Notamacropus eugenii: one gene and its partner. The protein of the gene in region 2 binds, or shares a complex with, the protein of the main gene of each other region. Links are inferred from orthologs where the notes say so. Each region holds a gene or a part of one and is shown on either strand. Other genes may lie near its edges. The genes, in order: PPIE and XAB2.

The links.
Region 1: XAB2 (region 2) and PPIE share a complex: the UniProt entries of both Homo sapiens proteins name them as parts of the XAB2 complex. The link is inferred for Notamacropus eugenii from reciprocal best matches to the Homo sapiens genes XAB2 and PPIE.

What each region holds. Positions count from the first base shown.
Region 1 is NC_092876.1:79,570,559-79,578,893, reverse strand, and holds the start of PPIE (peptidyl-prolyl cis-trans isomerase E), read right to left. Parts: upstream 3,231-8,335; 5' UTR 2,852-3,230; coding exon 2,821-2,851; intron 81-2,820; coding exon 1-80. UniProt on the Homo sapiens protein: Involved in pre-mRNA splicing as component of the spliceosome. Combines RNA-binding and PPIase activities.
Region 2 is NC_092875.1:51,394,223-51,402,803, reverse strand, and holds the start of XAB2 (pre-mRNA-splicing factor SYF1), read left to right. Parts: upstream 1-5,228; 5' UTR 5,229-5,255; coding exon 5,256-5,330; intron 5,331-7,693; coding exon 7,694-7,842; intron 7,843-7,984; coding exon 7,985-8,108; intron 8,109-8,207; coding exon 8,208-8,405; intron 8,406-8,581. Other genes in the region: protein PET100 homolog, mitochondrial, read right to left, coding at 4,914-5,024. UniProt on the Homo sapiens protein: Involved in pre-mRNA splicing as component of the spliceosome. Involved in transcription-coupled repair (TCR), transcription and pre-mRNA splicing.

The DNA of each region.
Region 1 (8,335 bases), on a different chromosome or scaffold from region 2:
TATCTGAATGTCTGTGATGTCTCCAAAAGGGATAAAAGCAGCATGAAGGACCTTCTCATCCACCTCCTCTGCAAGGCCCCCTACAAATGAAGCAAAGGCATCCTTTTCAATTCTCTTCCATGTATGCTCCAGCCCTATGGTTAGGGACAAGAGTCCAACTCAAAGTCTAAGTGGATGGGCTTGCACCAAGTGACCTACAGTGTCCCTTAGAGCTAACAGCTCTAAATCCATGACACTGTGTGCCAGTAATGTGCTTGATGCACCTGACAGGCTACGCCCTACGTGTATGCAATAACAACAGCTAACACTTATTTATCACTTACTCTGTCTCAGGCACTTGGTAAGCACTTTACAATCATTATCTCATTTGATCCTCACCACAATCTTGGAAGGTAGGGGCTATTATATTCCCCATTTTTTCATTTGAGGAAAATGAGGCAAACAAGTGACTTGCTCAGGATCATCCAGCTAGATCTCCCATCTCCATGCCTTTGCACATGCCTGGAAATCACCAACTCCCCCCTTCTATCAAAATCCCTGATTCCTTCACAGTTCAGCTCACGGACCACCTTCTGCACTACACCTTTCCCTGCCGTGTCATATTTTGCATGTACTTATATATGTACATGCTGTCTCCTTGGGCAGACTGTACGCTCCTGGGAGAACAGGGACTGTTTACCTTTTGTGTTCTGTAATCCTCAGGGCAGCGCAGCACAATGGGAAGGGGCTTCTGAAAATGCCTGCCCAGGGAAGGGTTTTAAGCACAAAAATGACAGGGTCAGACGGATTCCTTAGAAAGTCTAGTCTGAGCTAAACAGGTCCCAGTGAAGGGGAGAGAAACTGGAAAGCAAGCAGGGATTTGCAATGTTGTCCTTCACAGGGGAGGTCCTTCTCATGGTGGAGAAAGCCATCTGCATCCAGGGAAAGAACTATGGAGTCTGAATGCAGAGTGAAGCAGACTATTTTCTTTCTTTCTCATGGTTCTGATAAGGTGCTTGGGTGCCTGAGCTTGAACCCCAACTTTAAAATAACATCTCTCTAAAAATCACATTTCTCCCTATCCTCAAAACAATCTCACGCAGTTTCTCCCCAGCCCAAGGACACAGCCTGGCCTAGCAAAACTTGTATCTCCCTTCCTGATACAGCAGCCAGCTGCACCAATAGAATTTATTAGTCTGAACCAGCTGTGTACTGGCTGAATGGACTGTGCACTGGGTCGTAACGATGTTTTCTACTCACTGACCAATCATATGTGTCCTAGACTTAGACATACGTATACTCCATTACATTTATCTTGTCTAACAAGACACTGATGAGAGCAGCCTGGCATTCCTGAGTCAGTCCCGACCCTCAGTTGACTTGGTGATGTTTCAGGCCTAAAACCACACCTCCATGTAGCACCCCTCTTGGGTTATTTCCCAATGGACTCTGGGTAAAATATCTGCACAGTCGACCCTGAAAGTGCATGTTCCTTTAAGAACGAATCACCCCTTAACCACTCCCTAATCCTGCCCTGAATCACCTAGTCCTCACACTTGGCACATGTTTTACAATAAAATATCCTCTATAAACTTTAACTGTACTCCACTCAAATCACAGGTTCCTTAAGAATTCTTGGCCACTGAGAAGTGTAATAAATCTTTACTTTGACCTCAAGAAGGCTTGAGACCATGCATGGATTCCTTCCAGGTGACCTGCCCCTGGTACCCTGGTCTTTGTAAGGGTCTCACTGCCCCCTTCCAGCCCTCATCAGTGCCTCCCATTCATCTAATTCTTCTATACAACATGACTAATGTGAAAATATGCTTAATAGGAATATATATGCAGCATGCTGTCTCGAGGAGAGGAGGGAGGAAGGAGGGGAACAAATTTAAAATTTATGAAAGTGAATGTTGAAAACTAAAAATAAATAAATGTAAAAAAATATAAAATTTTTAAAAAAGGCTGGGGAAGTTCCTTGGTGAACAAGCATTCGGTCACTCTATTAATGTCTACTATGTTCCCTTCTCAGCTAGGCAGCAGAGCGGAGAGAGGGCCAGGTCTGGAGTTAGGGAGATCTGAGTTCAAATCTGGCCTGGTCAAGTCACTTCATTCTGCCTCCCTCAGTTTCCCCATCTGTAAAATGAGCTGGAAAGGGAAATGGCAAACCACTCCAAGATCTTTGCCAAGAAAACCCCCAGTGGGGTCAGGAATACTCGGACCCGTGTCCTCAGACTCCCTTGCAGCTGGGACAACCGTCTTTTAGGTCCCCAACACTTAGTAGGGGTTTGGCACACAACAGGCATTTAATAAATGGTGCAGGCTGCGCTGCGGGCTCCAGGGTGACACCTTTTGCCTGCCTACAGGTGAGGGGCGTGTCCTCACCCGGGAGTACCCTGGACCACGGAAATTACAGGTCCAGCCCCCATCCCCAGTGCCACAGGCAGCATTTATTAATCGCCAGTTTGAAGGCTACTTCCTGCAGGGGGATACACCAGCAGGCAAAGGTAACCTACAAGTAAAAGAACGCTTACACAACTGAACCGCGTGACCCCTTCAGCACCCAACCACGGAGCGCAGAGCGCGCCCCGCCCCTCAGCCCCGCCTCCAATCACTCGCCCCGCCCCCAGCACAAACTGAGCTGGGTCCCACCCCCGAGCTGTCAGCCAAGTCTCGCGATAGCTAGCCCCGCACAATCTCTCCCTTGTCCTACCAGGCCTGAGGGCCAAGGCCTCCCTCCAGACTCTCCTCACCGGCCCAGCATCCCTAGGCCAGGTAGAAAACCACTCCTGCTGGAACCTCGACCTCTGCCCCCACCCAGTGCGGTGAAATTCCACTCACCTACATATAGGACCCGCTTGGTGGCGGCCATCTTGCGTCGGGCTACGAGGCGGAAGTCGACGACTCCCTCCGCCCCTATTTCCGCCCACGCCCAGTAGCAGAGGGCGTTGCGTTCCTCGGAGTCCCGCCGCAGCCATAGGCTGGCCGAGCTAAGAGGAGGCTTTGTGCGCAGGCGCAGCCTGGGGCCGACGTGGCGTCACCAATCGCGCTTTTCTTTGAGGAGATTGGAGTGGAAGAGAAAGGAGTGAATGGGCGGCCTTAGATGTTTGCCGTGGCGCTTAGCTACTCACTTGAGAGAGTGGTTTTTTAATGCGTGCCCACCAGAAGCCCACGTTGTAGGGCACTCGCCAATGACCCGGCCGCGGTGCCCGGGGGGCGGCCTCTGGGCGGGGCCCCGGGACGTTGTGCGCTCTGACGTCATGTCCTGGGCTTGCGTGAGGGAACGGCCGGCCCGCTTGGCCCGTCTAGCAACGCGGGAATTCCACCGAAGATGAAAACGCGTGTTGGGGGAGGGGACGACCACTGTCCCGGAGTCGGGTCCGGAGGGTCCAGTCCCGCCTCCGACACGTCCTCGCTGCGGCGTCTCACCCTGTTTGCCTCAGTTTCCTCATCTGTAAAATGCGCTGGGGAAGGGAATGGCCGACCCCTCCAGTGTCTGGCCGGAACACCCCGGGGGGTCGCACACCAGAGCTAAAAGGGGGGCTAGCGGGCCTTTTGTTCTCCTTGTGGTTCTTGGCACATCGGAGGAAAGGGGGGGGCGGGCACTGGAGGCGGATGGCGCCCGGCGCTGCCACTGTGGGCACTGAAGTTCCTCCTGAGTGCTTGAGAAGGACTCGGGCAGTCACAAGCAATCTTTCAGCTCCCCTCACCCACAGGAGGGGCAGTGCCAGCGGGCATCTCTCAGGACTGGCTTCCGTGACCTGGGAGGCTGGTCCTCTGGGGCCAGAGAGGGGCAAAGTGTCCCCATATTTTAAAAAGGGAGGAAAGGATCTGACAGTGCAGGCCAGTGAGGCTGGTTTAATTTTGGTCGAAGATCTAGAGGAGGATCTAGAGAGATGATCACAGAGAGAGCTGGCCTGCCTTGTGATGGGTTTTGACAGGCTCCAAGATAAATGAGAAGAATGCTCTGTGGTTTACCCAGATTTTCGCAGAGCTTCTGAGAGTTATTTAATAGGATTCTTGTGGAAATGATGGGGCTCCATAATGCTAATTTGTTGGATTTGGAACTGGTTGGACTCAACTTGAAGGGCACTGTTTGGTACAGGGTCCCAGGAATCTGTGCTTGGCCCTGTGATATTTAACATTTTTATCGGTGATCTTAATAAAAAGCAAAGATATTGAGAAGACACCTTACCCCCTCATTTATAGAGAAGAAGGCTGGTGGGATGGGAAGGATCAGCTTTTTTTTCATTAGAGTGAAGTTATTTTTTAAGGATGTATAAACATATAGACACATCTACGGCTTTATTTGTCCTATCTAGTTTAAATCCATCCTAAAGTAGAAATCACTAGGCATTAATAATTAGATTCTGGAATTTAACACATCCAGCCAATAAAAACAATCTTTAAAAAAGTTACACAAACCAGATCTGCAACTCATACAAAGGTGGGTGGGGTAACATTGATTGAAGTTCAGGATGCAAAATGATCTTGATGAGGTAAAACATTGGCCTAATCTAAAACAGATGAAAGTAAAGTCTTACTTTATTTGGGTTAAAAGAACCAACTTCACAAGTACAATAGGACAGGCTTGGTTAGATTAGTAATGCTAGATGTCCATTTGTCAAAATGTTGATTATGAAGACTAGAGAGAAACAGTGAGAACTCTTCCAACTCTAGAATTCTGATTGGTTTATCTGACAAAAAGACCTGTGAGTTTGGGTGAGCTAAAGTGCAATGAATCCGCAGTATGAGATGACCGAAAGAAAACCCAAGTTAGTCTTGGACTGAATGAAGACAAGCTTTAAGGAACAGTCCCTCCCCTTCTGCCACTCTTGTTGGACCACATTTGAAATAGTGATGTTCTGGGTGCCATAATTTGGGAAGGATGCTGATGAGCTGCAAAGCATACAGAGTAAAGTAACCAAAATGGAAAAAGGTCTATGCCAAGAAAATCAGTAAGCTTTCTAGTAGGGAATTATTTCTTCAATTACTTTGAAGCCCTTCAGTTTTAGAGCTTCACTGAATAATCTTGCTCAAAGGGTAGCATCCGACCAAAGGGTGTCGCTTCACAATTACAAAAGTTAGAAGGAACCTGAGGCGTCTTTGAACATCCCAGTCAAATGATCACCCAAACGTAGCTTCAGAAACTCTGGCAAAGGGGAAGCCATTAACTCCAAAGACAGCTCATACATTCCAAAAACTTCTTACCAGGGAACAGTTTGAACTACTGAACCCAAGTCTCAGTTCCCTGACTTAATGAATAAACATCTTCAAATTCTAAAACTATTAAAGAGGGGCTCAAAGGATTTTACATTCACAAGTGTACAGGTCACGTGGGGTTGGCAAGCTATCGGTGCCAGGATGGGCTACAATAGAACTGTGGAGTTGAATAGCTACCACTCATTACAAAGTGGGTGGTGCTCAAGATTTTCAAGAACTCCTGCATCTTTCCTCCAGAAGCCACATTTCAGCTTGCCGCATTTCTGGGGATGTGCAGTTTTGGTCTTTGGACAAGCTAGTGATTACTAGCTGTAGATTCCCAGGCAGCTTGTAGGACTAATTTTTTTAGTGCTCCCAGAGGCTGTGGCCTCATTCATTTGGTTTCTTCAAACATGGTTTGTTGACAGTTCAACCTGTCCTTCTAGACTACCCTTATTAAACAAGGAATGGTTTACCCTTGAGGTAAATACCTGAGTGGGAATTCCTCCACGGGACAAATTGAATTGAATGTTACAGATACATTAGTAATAAGTGTATTTGGCAAACGTTAAGCATATTGATTCAAAAGCTAATGCACCCCAGAATTCTAGGATTTTTTGCTTCTAAACATCTTCTGGTATCCATTCTCCAATTAAGGAATATGAATAGGAAATTTTTAGAGAAGAATTCTAAGCTATAAATGACCACATGAATAGATGCTTTAAATTAATATTAGAGAAATGTAAATGAAAACAACTATGAGGTACTATCTCATACCCACCAGATTGGCAAAGATGACAAAAATGGAAAATCATAGCTGGAAGGGGTTGTGGGAAAACAGGTGCACTGCAAGTAAAGTGGTGAACTAGCTCAAACATTCTAGAAAGCAATTTGGAACTACCCCCCTCAAAACTGCATACTTTGATCCAGAAACACCAGGTCTGTATCCCAGAGATCAAAGCACAAGTGGTGGAAAAGAATCAGAAACTGAGGAGGATGTTCTTCAGTTGGGGATATGATGGAATACTATTGACTTTGACAACACTGATCAATACATTACCCAACTACAGCTTCAAAAGATGTGATGAAACATGCTTATGATACAGAGCTGACAGACTTAACAGCAAATTGAGGCATATTTTGTTTTTTTAGACAAGGCTGAGGGAATGTTTTGCATCACTGTACGTAACTGTAATGGGTTTTGTTTTTTTTTTCCTTGAATAGGTAAAGGAAGGAGGATGAGAATTTGGAACTTAAAATTGTAAAAAAATCTTTAGTTGTGTTCTTGCTCATACAGTACTTAGTAGGTCCCAATACTTCAAATGATCAGTCATCCAAAATTTATTAAAGTCCCTACTAGGAGGCAGCTGGATAGCACAGCAAACAGAATATGTAATTGTAAGCCATCTGACATGGTAGTCAGCCCTGTCAGTGGAAATTGTGACTCAACCACACCACCTCATCCAGTTTAATACTTTTGAGCTAGTGTAATCCTGATTCTTTAAGGAGATTTGTGATGTACTAAAATATGACATTTCACAATTTAAAAAGTCCAACTCTTAAAACTCAGGTTTCATATCTCTACTTGTTGCATGAAGCCTGCGCTGCCAAAGCCAACTCAGCACATGCCTCCGATAGTGTGGCATTGGGTCAAAACTACCAACTTCACATGGCAAAGAGTGGAGCAACAGGCAAAGCTACGTACAACATTTATAAGCACAGGTGCTATCATCCTTAGAAAATGAGGTAGATAAGATTACGCATCCCCAAAAGGTCATAGATACTACGTGACACCACAGACTCCAGATCCCCTCTACTTCCAGATGGTCACTAGGCTGGCCTTTTGGAATGGATTATGTATTAAACTGAATAAAAAGCATACTATAAAGTTTGCTATTAAAGGAAGCTATAGTTCAGATGACCCTGTGGCACTACTTCAATAATATCCAAAAGCAATGCCACTTTCTAAATAAAAATTCGTTTTCTGACCCCTGAAACGTTCTTTGAAGTTCCCCATGCAAGCATTTAAGTCCAGTCTTGGCTTGAAACTTGGTAAAAAACTATTCATTGTACATAACTGAAGCCAATATAAACATTTCCTATTTATGAGGAGCTTTTGGGTTCTAATGTGACAGTTCAAGTGTGACAGGATCATATTTTAACATGTCAATTTAATGACAACCCCAAACAGTCCTCCTCATTACCTAGGAAATAGCAAACTGCTTGGAAAACCAGAACAAACAAGGAATAACAAACTATCTGTGCAATTCCATTCTGACTTATTTGTGTTCCTAAGACTCCTTCCAGTGAAAACTTGGACTTATTTTTGACATAAGTCAAATAAACTCCAGTAGAGTTTGAAAATATGGGAATAAAAATAAAGAGGCAATTTATGAAGGTTTTACTTCTTTATTGAGAAACACTTTTCCAGACTCTGTAAATTGGATACGTCAAATAAAACCAATTCCTGATAAAACCAAAACAAAAATACTGTCAGAAAAGCTTTTTTAGAAGAGAAAAATTAAATAAAATTAAATTAAAGATTAACAGGGTCCAGGCAACACACAAGAAACCTGCCCATTTTGACCACTGGAAAACTTCTTAGGGTTTTAAGAATTGACCTTTCAAGTTGATTTTTTCAAAAGAAAAAATCTCCAGAATGGCAGCAGCTTCTTCTGCCATGTCTTGTTCAGTCTGTAGTAACTGAAGAAGTCTCCACATGTTGAGTGAACGAACATCTAATAAAGGGGCTATTTCACTTCAGAGTATCCTGCAAAGAAAGAAAGGATTCCTCAGAGACCATTCAGTTTAGTAAAAAAAAATTCTAAATTTAGTATTTTATTTTTTCCCAACTACATGTAAAAACAGTTTTCAAAATTCATTTTAAAAACTGAGTTCCAAATTCTCCCCCCTCCTTCACTAAGAAGATAATTGATACATTGTATCACATGTGTATTCATGCAAAACTTATTTCCAGTCTCAAAATCCATTCCTTTTCTCTTTGACAAATGAGGAAACTGAAGTCCAGAAGAGAAGTTTGTCCAAAGTCAAGTCCCTGTCCTTTTATCATTACATACATATTTTAAGATCTAGGGATTCAAAGCCAGATCTTTCAGCTCCAAGAACCAAAACTGCCCTCCCACTGAATTATTTG
Region 2 (8,581 bases):
TCTGCCAAGAAAACCCCAAGTGGGGTCACAAAGAGTTGGACACTGCAACAACCGAACAACAACAAATCAAGTCGTCATTCACAATAACCCTATGAAGTAAATGGTGCAAATTAACTGAATTTTACAAAGGAGGAAATTAAGGTTATGTGACTTCCTACCAGCTGGGTCATCGTAGCCAAGTCACAAAGCCTGTCAGCACCTCAATTTCCTCAAAACAAATACAATAATAATCAAACCCCTCACCTCACAGGGCAGGTGTCCCAACAGCAGTTTGCAAACACTAACGTGAAATTTGTCAATTGTTTTTGCCCAAGGTCAGAAAGATGGTAAGTGACAAAGTTAGGATCTGGGCTTTGGTACTTTTTAACTGTGAGTTTTCCTTTTCCACCTAATCAAGAAGCCTTGATGGTATTTACACCTGCTACGTGCTAGCACCGTGCTCAGTACTGGGAATAAAAAGGAAGTGAAAAATCGCCTGCCCTCGTGAAACTTACATTCTAAAGTCATGTAAGGTGTACAAAGAGATATATACAAGAAACATAGAGGATGGATACAAAGTAACCTCAATCCAAAATAAATTTCTTTGTGGGTTACATTTAACTATTCACCTCTCTCATCCAGTTACCAGTTCCTATTGACAGTTACATTGAGGCAGCTAGCTGATGCAGAGAAAGCAGTGCCAGACCGGCATTCAGGAAGACTTGAGTTCAAATCCAGCCTCAAACACTTCCTGGCAGTGTGATCCTGAGCAAGTCATGTAATCTCTTTTAGCCTCAGTTTCCTCAACTGTAACATGGGTATAATAGCAGCACCTACTTGTCAGGACTGTTGTGAGGACACAATGAGATAATAATTGAAAAGTGCCTTGCACATAGTAGGTCCTATATTACTGTCAGTTACTGTTGTTCTTATTATCCCTTTCTCTCTGCTCACATTTCCACCACCCTAGGAAGTCCTTCATTACTTTCTATTGAACTATTGCAACAGCCTCCTAATTGGCCTCCTTGCCTCCAATCTCCTCTCCTACAGTCCATACAGCTTCATATTCATAAAGCATAGGACACTGACCCAGAGAAGTCATTTGCCCTTCAAGGCCATACAGTTAGTAACTGAGGCTAGATTTGAATCCATGTCTGCCTATCTCTTAATCCATTATTCTACATTGTTTCAGAATCAGCAGGGAACCACTGAACCTCCCCAAGCTGGGGAAGCGTGAGTGGCTCCCTATTGCTTCTGGGATAAAATGCCAACTCTTCTGTTTGGCATTTAAAGCCCCCTCCAATCTGGCTCTCACTTCTCCCTTCAAATTTCCATATTATAACATTTTACATTATTCCCCTCACCCATTTTACCCTCCTGCCACACTGGCCAACTTGATGCTCCCCACGAATGAAATTCTGTCTCCTCTTTCCACATCTCCCATACCTAGCAGGCTCCGTGTCATCTCCTCTGTACCCTGGCACCCCCATCTTCCTTCAGTGGGGCTCAAGCACCACCACCTCCAGGAGAACTTTCCTGCTTCCTCCAATTGTTAATGCTGCCCATTGTTATTTTGTATATATTCTGTATTTCCTTATCTATCCTTCTCCCACACCCACCCCCTGCTGTAAAATCCTTGAAGGCAGGCACTGAATTGTTTTTGTCTTTGTATCCTAGCACCTGGTGGCATGTACTCAGTAAGTACTCAGTAAATGCTTCTAGAATTGAATTGAATTCCTGATTTCCTTCTTTCCTGGCCTCTAAGCTATCCTTCACAACACTGTTGGAATAATCTTCCTTCCACACAGATCTGCTCGTGTCATTTGACTCAAAGATTTTCAGTGACTCCTTACAGGCTACCAAGTAAAGTTCAAACTACTTTGCTTGACAAGAAAGACCCTCTCCTATCTTGGGTCATTCTGCCTTTACAAACTTCTCTCATTTACTCCCTTCCAGGCAAACTGGACAATTCAAAATCAAGAATCCTGGAACTAGCAGGGACCTCAGAACAAATTCAGTTCAGCTCACACCTTAACAAGATTCCCCTCTATAACACCCCCCAACAAGTTCAAAGCTTCATCAAAGAAGAGAAGAAAACCTGTCAATTATGAGCCACTCAGCTTGACTTCAGTTCTTGGGGAAATTCTAAAATACCACAGTGGATGGCTAGGAACCATCCAGACAAGGAAGCAGTGACTGAAAAGAGCCAGTTCAGCTTCAAGGACAGGTCATGCCAGGCGAATTTTCTTTTCTTTTCTGAAAGTGATTAATAGCTTAAATTGTAGATAGAGTTTACTTGGATCTTCACAAAGCATTTGGTAAAGTATCTTATTCCATTCTTGAGGAAAACATGGACTAGACTACGATACAATTTGTTGTTGATCAGTCACGGCCAACTCCTCATGGCCCCATTTGGAATTTTCTTGGCAAAGATACCGGAGTGGTTTGCCATTTCCTTCTCCAGCTCATTTAACAGATGAAGAAACTGAGGCAAACTGGGGTGAAGTCACTTGTCCAGGGTCACACAGCTACTGGATGTTTGAGGCCAGATTTGAACTCAGTTCAAGGAGTCTTCCTCACTGTAGGCCCAGCACTTTATCCACTGTGCCATCTAGCTGCCCTATAATACAATTAGGTAGATTTAAAACTAGATGAAAGATCAGACTCAAAAGACGAGTCATTAGGAGTTCAATGTCAATAAACAGAAGGTCTCCAGTGAAGTGGCCTGAGTGGCCCAAGGTGGGTTATTTAGCATTTTTAACCAAATACTTAGACAAAGGAATAGATAGCATGCTCATCAAGTCTGTAGATAACACAGAACTGGGAACTAGATAAGAACAGTTAACATACTATATGGCAAGATCAGGATCCAAAAAAGATCTTGACATGCAGGAACAATGAGTTAAGGCTAATAAAATGAAATTCAATATGGACAAATGTAAAGTCTTAGACTTGAGTTAAAAAAAAATTAACTTCACAATGGAAGTTTGAGAAAAAAACTGGATGTTTTTAGAGAACTCAATAAATCAGCAGTGAGATGTGGCCATCCAAAAAAAACTAATTCCATTTTGGGAAGATGTTAAGAGAGTTAAAAAAGATAAGGCAAGAGACAGTGTGGAACAGTGGCCAGACAGTGTTGGAGCAAGCAAGAGCTGGGTCAAGTTCAGGCTTTAAAAAATGCTGGCTTCCAAAAGACTCCGATGGAAAATGCCATCCACATCCACAGAAAGAAAGAGGGAGTCTGAATGCAGATCTTTTTTTGTTTAGTTTACGTTCGTTTTTTTCTTTCTCATGGTTCCTCTATTTCAGTCTAATTCAGAAGAAGAGATACAAGGACACTCTCAAGGTCTCTCTTGAAAACTTTGGATTTGACCGTGCAACATAGGAGACACTGGAACAGGACCACTCAGCATGGCATGCCCACATCAGAAAGGGTGCTGTGCTGTATGTATGAGCAAAGCAGAATTGAGACAGCACTAAGTAAACGTAAGATGCATAAATTTGGAGTATCCACCCCAAATATTCACATGGACTATTTGTGCCCAACCTGCAGTACAGCACTCTAAGCTCGTGTTGGTCTGATCAGCCACAGTCAGACACACTGAAATTTCACTTTATCATATCATTTTGGCCCTCTTCAAGAACGCAGGACAACAACCAACCAACCAATATTTTTATACAACATGACTAATGTGAAAATATGTTTAATAAGAATGTATATGTAAAGTCTATATGGGATTGCATGCCAGCTTGGGGAGGAGAAGAGAAAATTTAAAAATAAATCAATTTATAAAACACACACGGGCACACACACGATGGCTGAATGACTCTGGGCAAATCACTTAATCTGTCTATGCAAGGCCACTCTCTGTGATTACAGGTTAAAGAGAAGATGCTGACCAGTACTGTTAGGAGTTCCTCCTGGGAGCTTCCTATACCTATGAAATCACAGCTCTAGTACAATCTCTATCCCATAGTTTCCAAAATAAGGACGTGACAGGACCACTGTCTCCTAGTGCAGTCCTTAGAGTGGACTTAGGGTACAAATCCCACCTCAAACACTTACTATGCCCTGGACCAGTCGCTTAACCTAAGCCTCGGTGTCCTCATCTGTAAAAAGGGTAATAACTACCTGCATCCCAGGGTTGTTGTGACGATTAAATGAGATGCTATTTGTAAAGCACTCAGCACATATCAGGCGCTTAATAGATGCTTGCTCCCTTCCTTGCAAGGACAAAAAGAGATATTTGTAATGTACTTTGCAAAACGTTAAAGCACTACGTAAATACATCATCATCACCATCATCATCATCATCATCATCATCCTCATCCTCATCATCATCATCATCATCACCATCATCATCATCATCCTCATCCTCCTCCTCCTCATCATCATCATCCTCATCCTCATCACCATCATCATCATCATCATCACCATCATCATCATCATCTTCATCATCCTCGTCATCGATCAGATCTCATCTAGAGTCGTCTGCCTGGTTCTAGGCACCATAGCTTAAGATCACGGAGTGACAGAGGAGGGTGACCTCAAGGTGAAGCTTCCTGAGTTCCTATCACTTGAAGACTGGGTGAAGGAAGTGGGAGTGTTTAGCCAGAAGAAGAGAAAGCTGGGGAAGGGCAGGAGTAGACTTGGGAGAGGAGAGGGCTGCTGGGTTCAAGTATTTGAAGGGTTGTCACGTGCAAAGCCCTATAAAGAGCCTCGGAAGGGTCGTGAAATGACGTCTTTAGGCTGCACTTGAGGTAACGCTGCCTAACCAGGAGATGAGGGGGCAGTCAGGTAATGTGGGTGTGGAGGGAATGTCAACAGCGGATTCTTGTTCAGCCCCTAGGTTCCATCCCCAAAGACCCCTATCTGCCCTCCACCCGGGCCCCGAGAAGCACTGTCCCACACGCTCCCGTGCCCCAGCACTGACCCGAAAAACCTCCAGCTTCACCCCCATCTTGTTAGGTCCGACGGCTGCTTCCGCCAGTCTCTGAAGCCACATCCGCCCAAAACTAGACGCCGCAGCAAGACGTACGTTCATTGGCTAGAGCTCGAGCTTGGACGCTGGAGTCCATTGGCTGGAGCGGCTCAAAGCGGAAGTGAAGCGTGAAGAGGGTGTCCCGCCTCTTCCCCTAGTCTTAAACAGGCGGAAGTTGTTCTGAGGGAGAGCACGGAAGTGAGCTGCATCCGGCCAATGAGAAACAGTACCAGGACGGATGGAGGCGGGACCACAGCGTAAGGGCTGGTGAGTGCAGCGGAAGAAGACGCAGGGATGCCCGAGATCGGGGACGCAGATGCAGCCGAGGCAAAGCTGAAGGCTCGGCCCGAGAGGCCCGACCTCTTCTTCGTGAGTACGAGCGGGAGGAGCGCACAGACGCAGTGGGCTCCACGGGACAGCGGGCGGACTCCGAAACCTGCGATAGGGAGACGCCGGCCCGATGGAGGCAAGGAGTGCGCAGACGCGACTCCGAGCTCCTGGAAGACTGCGCAGGCGCAAGAGAGAGCCCCCGCTAACCTGGGAGTGGGCGAAGTGGAGGCTGCGCTGGTTGGGATCAGCCAGGCTCCTCCTCTCCTTGTGCTATTCGTCAGAGACTAAGTGGGCGGGGCGGCCGAGGGCGTGGTGCAGACCCAGAGTGAGCCGTAGGGAGCCATTGCAGGTTCTTGAGCGGAGCAGAGAAAAGAATCATGCCCTCAAAGACCCTCTCCGTGATACTCTTTATTTCTTACCAGATGCTGAGATTTGCTCCGAATCTTGCATCTGCGACTTCCCAGTAGAGCTCAGACTCCTTTGCTTGGCATGCCAGGCTTGCCACAATCTAGCCCCTTTCCAAACGTATTATTCTCCTCTTGAAGAATGAGGCTGCCGATAGGAGTAGGAGCCATGCTCTTCTGCCTGTGTGCCCCAGGTTCCTGGGATGCTGTGTCCCTTTCTTCACCTCTGAATTTCTGGCTTCCTTTTAAAGCCGGGTGCTTGCGCCCCCTCCTCCAGGCAGCCTTCCTGAATCTCCTCTCCCTGAGCCAATGACACCCCGTCAGACCTCATCCAGCCTTGTACCCCTTCTGCTGCACCTACTCACTAACATTATCTATTGTAGTTTTCTAGCTTAATGCCTTTCTTTTAAACTGTAAGCTGCACAAGGACTGGGGCAAAGTTATATCCTGCTTACTATGTGAAAAACTTGTAAAGAAAGAGGTTTTTCCCCCTGCTTGGATGCAGGAGGTAGAATTAAGAGCAGTGGATGGAAATTTAAAAGAAGTGGATCTAGGTTTGATGTTAGAAAAAAGCATACTTAGAGTTAGAGGTGTCTCATCATTGAACATCTTCAAGCTGAGGCAGCAGGATCACTTTTGGGGATAGAGCTCTGAGAGTGAAGTCAGAAAGACCTGAGTTCAAATCCAACCTCAGACACTTCTAATTGTGTGACTTTGGGCAAGTTACTTAAATGCTATTTGCCTCACTTTCTTCATCTGTAAAATGGGGGTGATAATGGCACCTACTTCCTAATTGTTGTGGGGATCAAAAGGGATGATAATTATAAAGTTCTTGGCACATAGTAAGTGCTTTGTGAATGTTACCTATTATTGTGATCATTAAGCACAGTACTTGGCTCAGAGTAAGTGCTGTATGAATGTTACCTATTATTGTCATCCTTATTATCTAGAGCACTTAGCACAGTGCCTGGCCCATAGGAAGTGCTCTATAAATGTTAGCTATTATCATAAGTGTGTGGACTGGATGTTCTTTGAAGTCCCTCCAGCTCTTAAGATTCTGTGAGTACTTGAACCTGGTGTCAGAGCCCTATGAAGTCCTCTGCTGTAGTAGGTATTTAATAAAGATGGGGTGAATTGGATTACATCAGAGCTGGCACTGGCATGCAAGCCCTTGACAAGTCTGATGGAATGGTGGGAGGTGGAGAGATGGGAGCCAAGGAGAAGGCTATTGCTATGATGAGTGAGGATAGAGAGAAAAGAGAGGATGTTGGGAGTGTTTCTAAGGGACACTGAGCCATATGCAGAGACTAGGTAATATGGGGGAATAAGCTGTTGCAGGATTTAGAATTGAAAGATTGCTTTATCATACAGATCCTAGAACAAGGCATGCGTATAGAAGTATCTGTCCAGTGAAAGACACAAACTGTCTCAGACTTGGAAGGGACTTCAGTGACTTTCTAATCCAACCTGTACTGGAACAAGAATTCCTTCTCCATTAAGCTTAATCACCTAGCCATTGGATAAGGGCTTCAGATAAGGAGAAACCCAGTACCTCCAGTGGTAGCTCATTCTGCTTTGAGATAGTCCCACTTATTGGAAGGTTTTTCCCGTCATCAAACCTAAATATGCCACTTTTTCCAATGACCTGCAAGCTGGGTACTTGCTTAGAGAGGAAACAAGAATTTAGTGAGTAAACCAAGTGGGTGCTTGAAGTGGGGCTTTCAAACAGGAAGACACACATCATCTGATCCCCTGAGGCCCAGAAACTTGAACTGGTTTGCCTAGGGTCACATAAGAAATATAAAAGCTGGGATTTTACCTGGAGTCTCCTGACTCATTCCACTGTGGCACAGTTGTCTCAGTGAGAGAGAGACCAGCCTTCTGGGGGTGGGAATCAGGGTGAGGAGGTGGAGATTTAGGGGATTCAGAGTGCTAGGTTTGGGAAGGAGAAGGCCTGGCTTATTTGAGGAACTCTGATCTGACCTCTTGTCTCCCTAGGAAGAAGAGGATTTGCAGTATGAGGAGGAAATCCTTCGCAACCCTTTCTCTGTCAAGTGTTGGTTTCGGTACATTGAGTTCAAACAGAGTGCATCACAGGCTGTGCTCAATCTGCTGTATGAGCGAGCCCTCAAGGAGCTGCCTGGGAGGTGAGGGTCCCTCCCACTTTCCAACCTCCCCTCCCTCTCCTTTCCCCATGGGGCAACACAGTACAGGAAAGTGGAGCATGAGCAAAGAAAAGGAAAAGGCTGGGACAGTGTACACAAGCATATTTCCTCTCCTGTCACCCAGTTACAAGCTATGGTACCACTACCTGAAAGCCCGCCGGGCCCAGGTGAAGCGCCGCTGCGTGACTGACCCTGCCTATGAGGATGTCAACAACTGCCACGAGCGGGCCTTGGTCTTCATGCACAAGGTAAGCCTTTGGTGACGAGGGCCAGGGGGCAAAAGGAATCTCAGGCCAGGGCTGGAGATGTGGGAGCATGAGGGGACCTCTGCCTTCTCCTTGCTACAGATGCCACGGCTGTGGTTGGATTACTGCCAGTTCTTGATGGAGCAGGGCCGCATTACTCGGACCCGGCGTACCTTTGACCGTGCCCTGAGGGCTCTGCCCATCACTCAGCACTCTCGCATCTGGCCCCTCTATCTTCGCTTTGTACGTTCCCACCCTTTGCCTGAGACTGCAGTGCGTGTGTACCGCCGCTTCCTCAAGGTGAGCTGTGCAGAGGGTCCAAGGGAGTGGGCAGCAGATCATGCAACTGTAAGATTTCCTGCCCCTTGCCACCCAACCCCCAAACCAGGTTCCATGGGATGAAATGGGCACTGGAAAGGGAAAGGGCAAGGGCATTTTGAGGCTGGGGGGTGGGGAGCACTGACCACTGTCTTTGT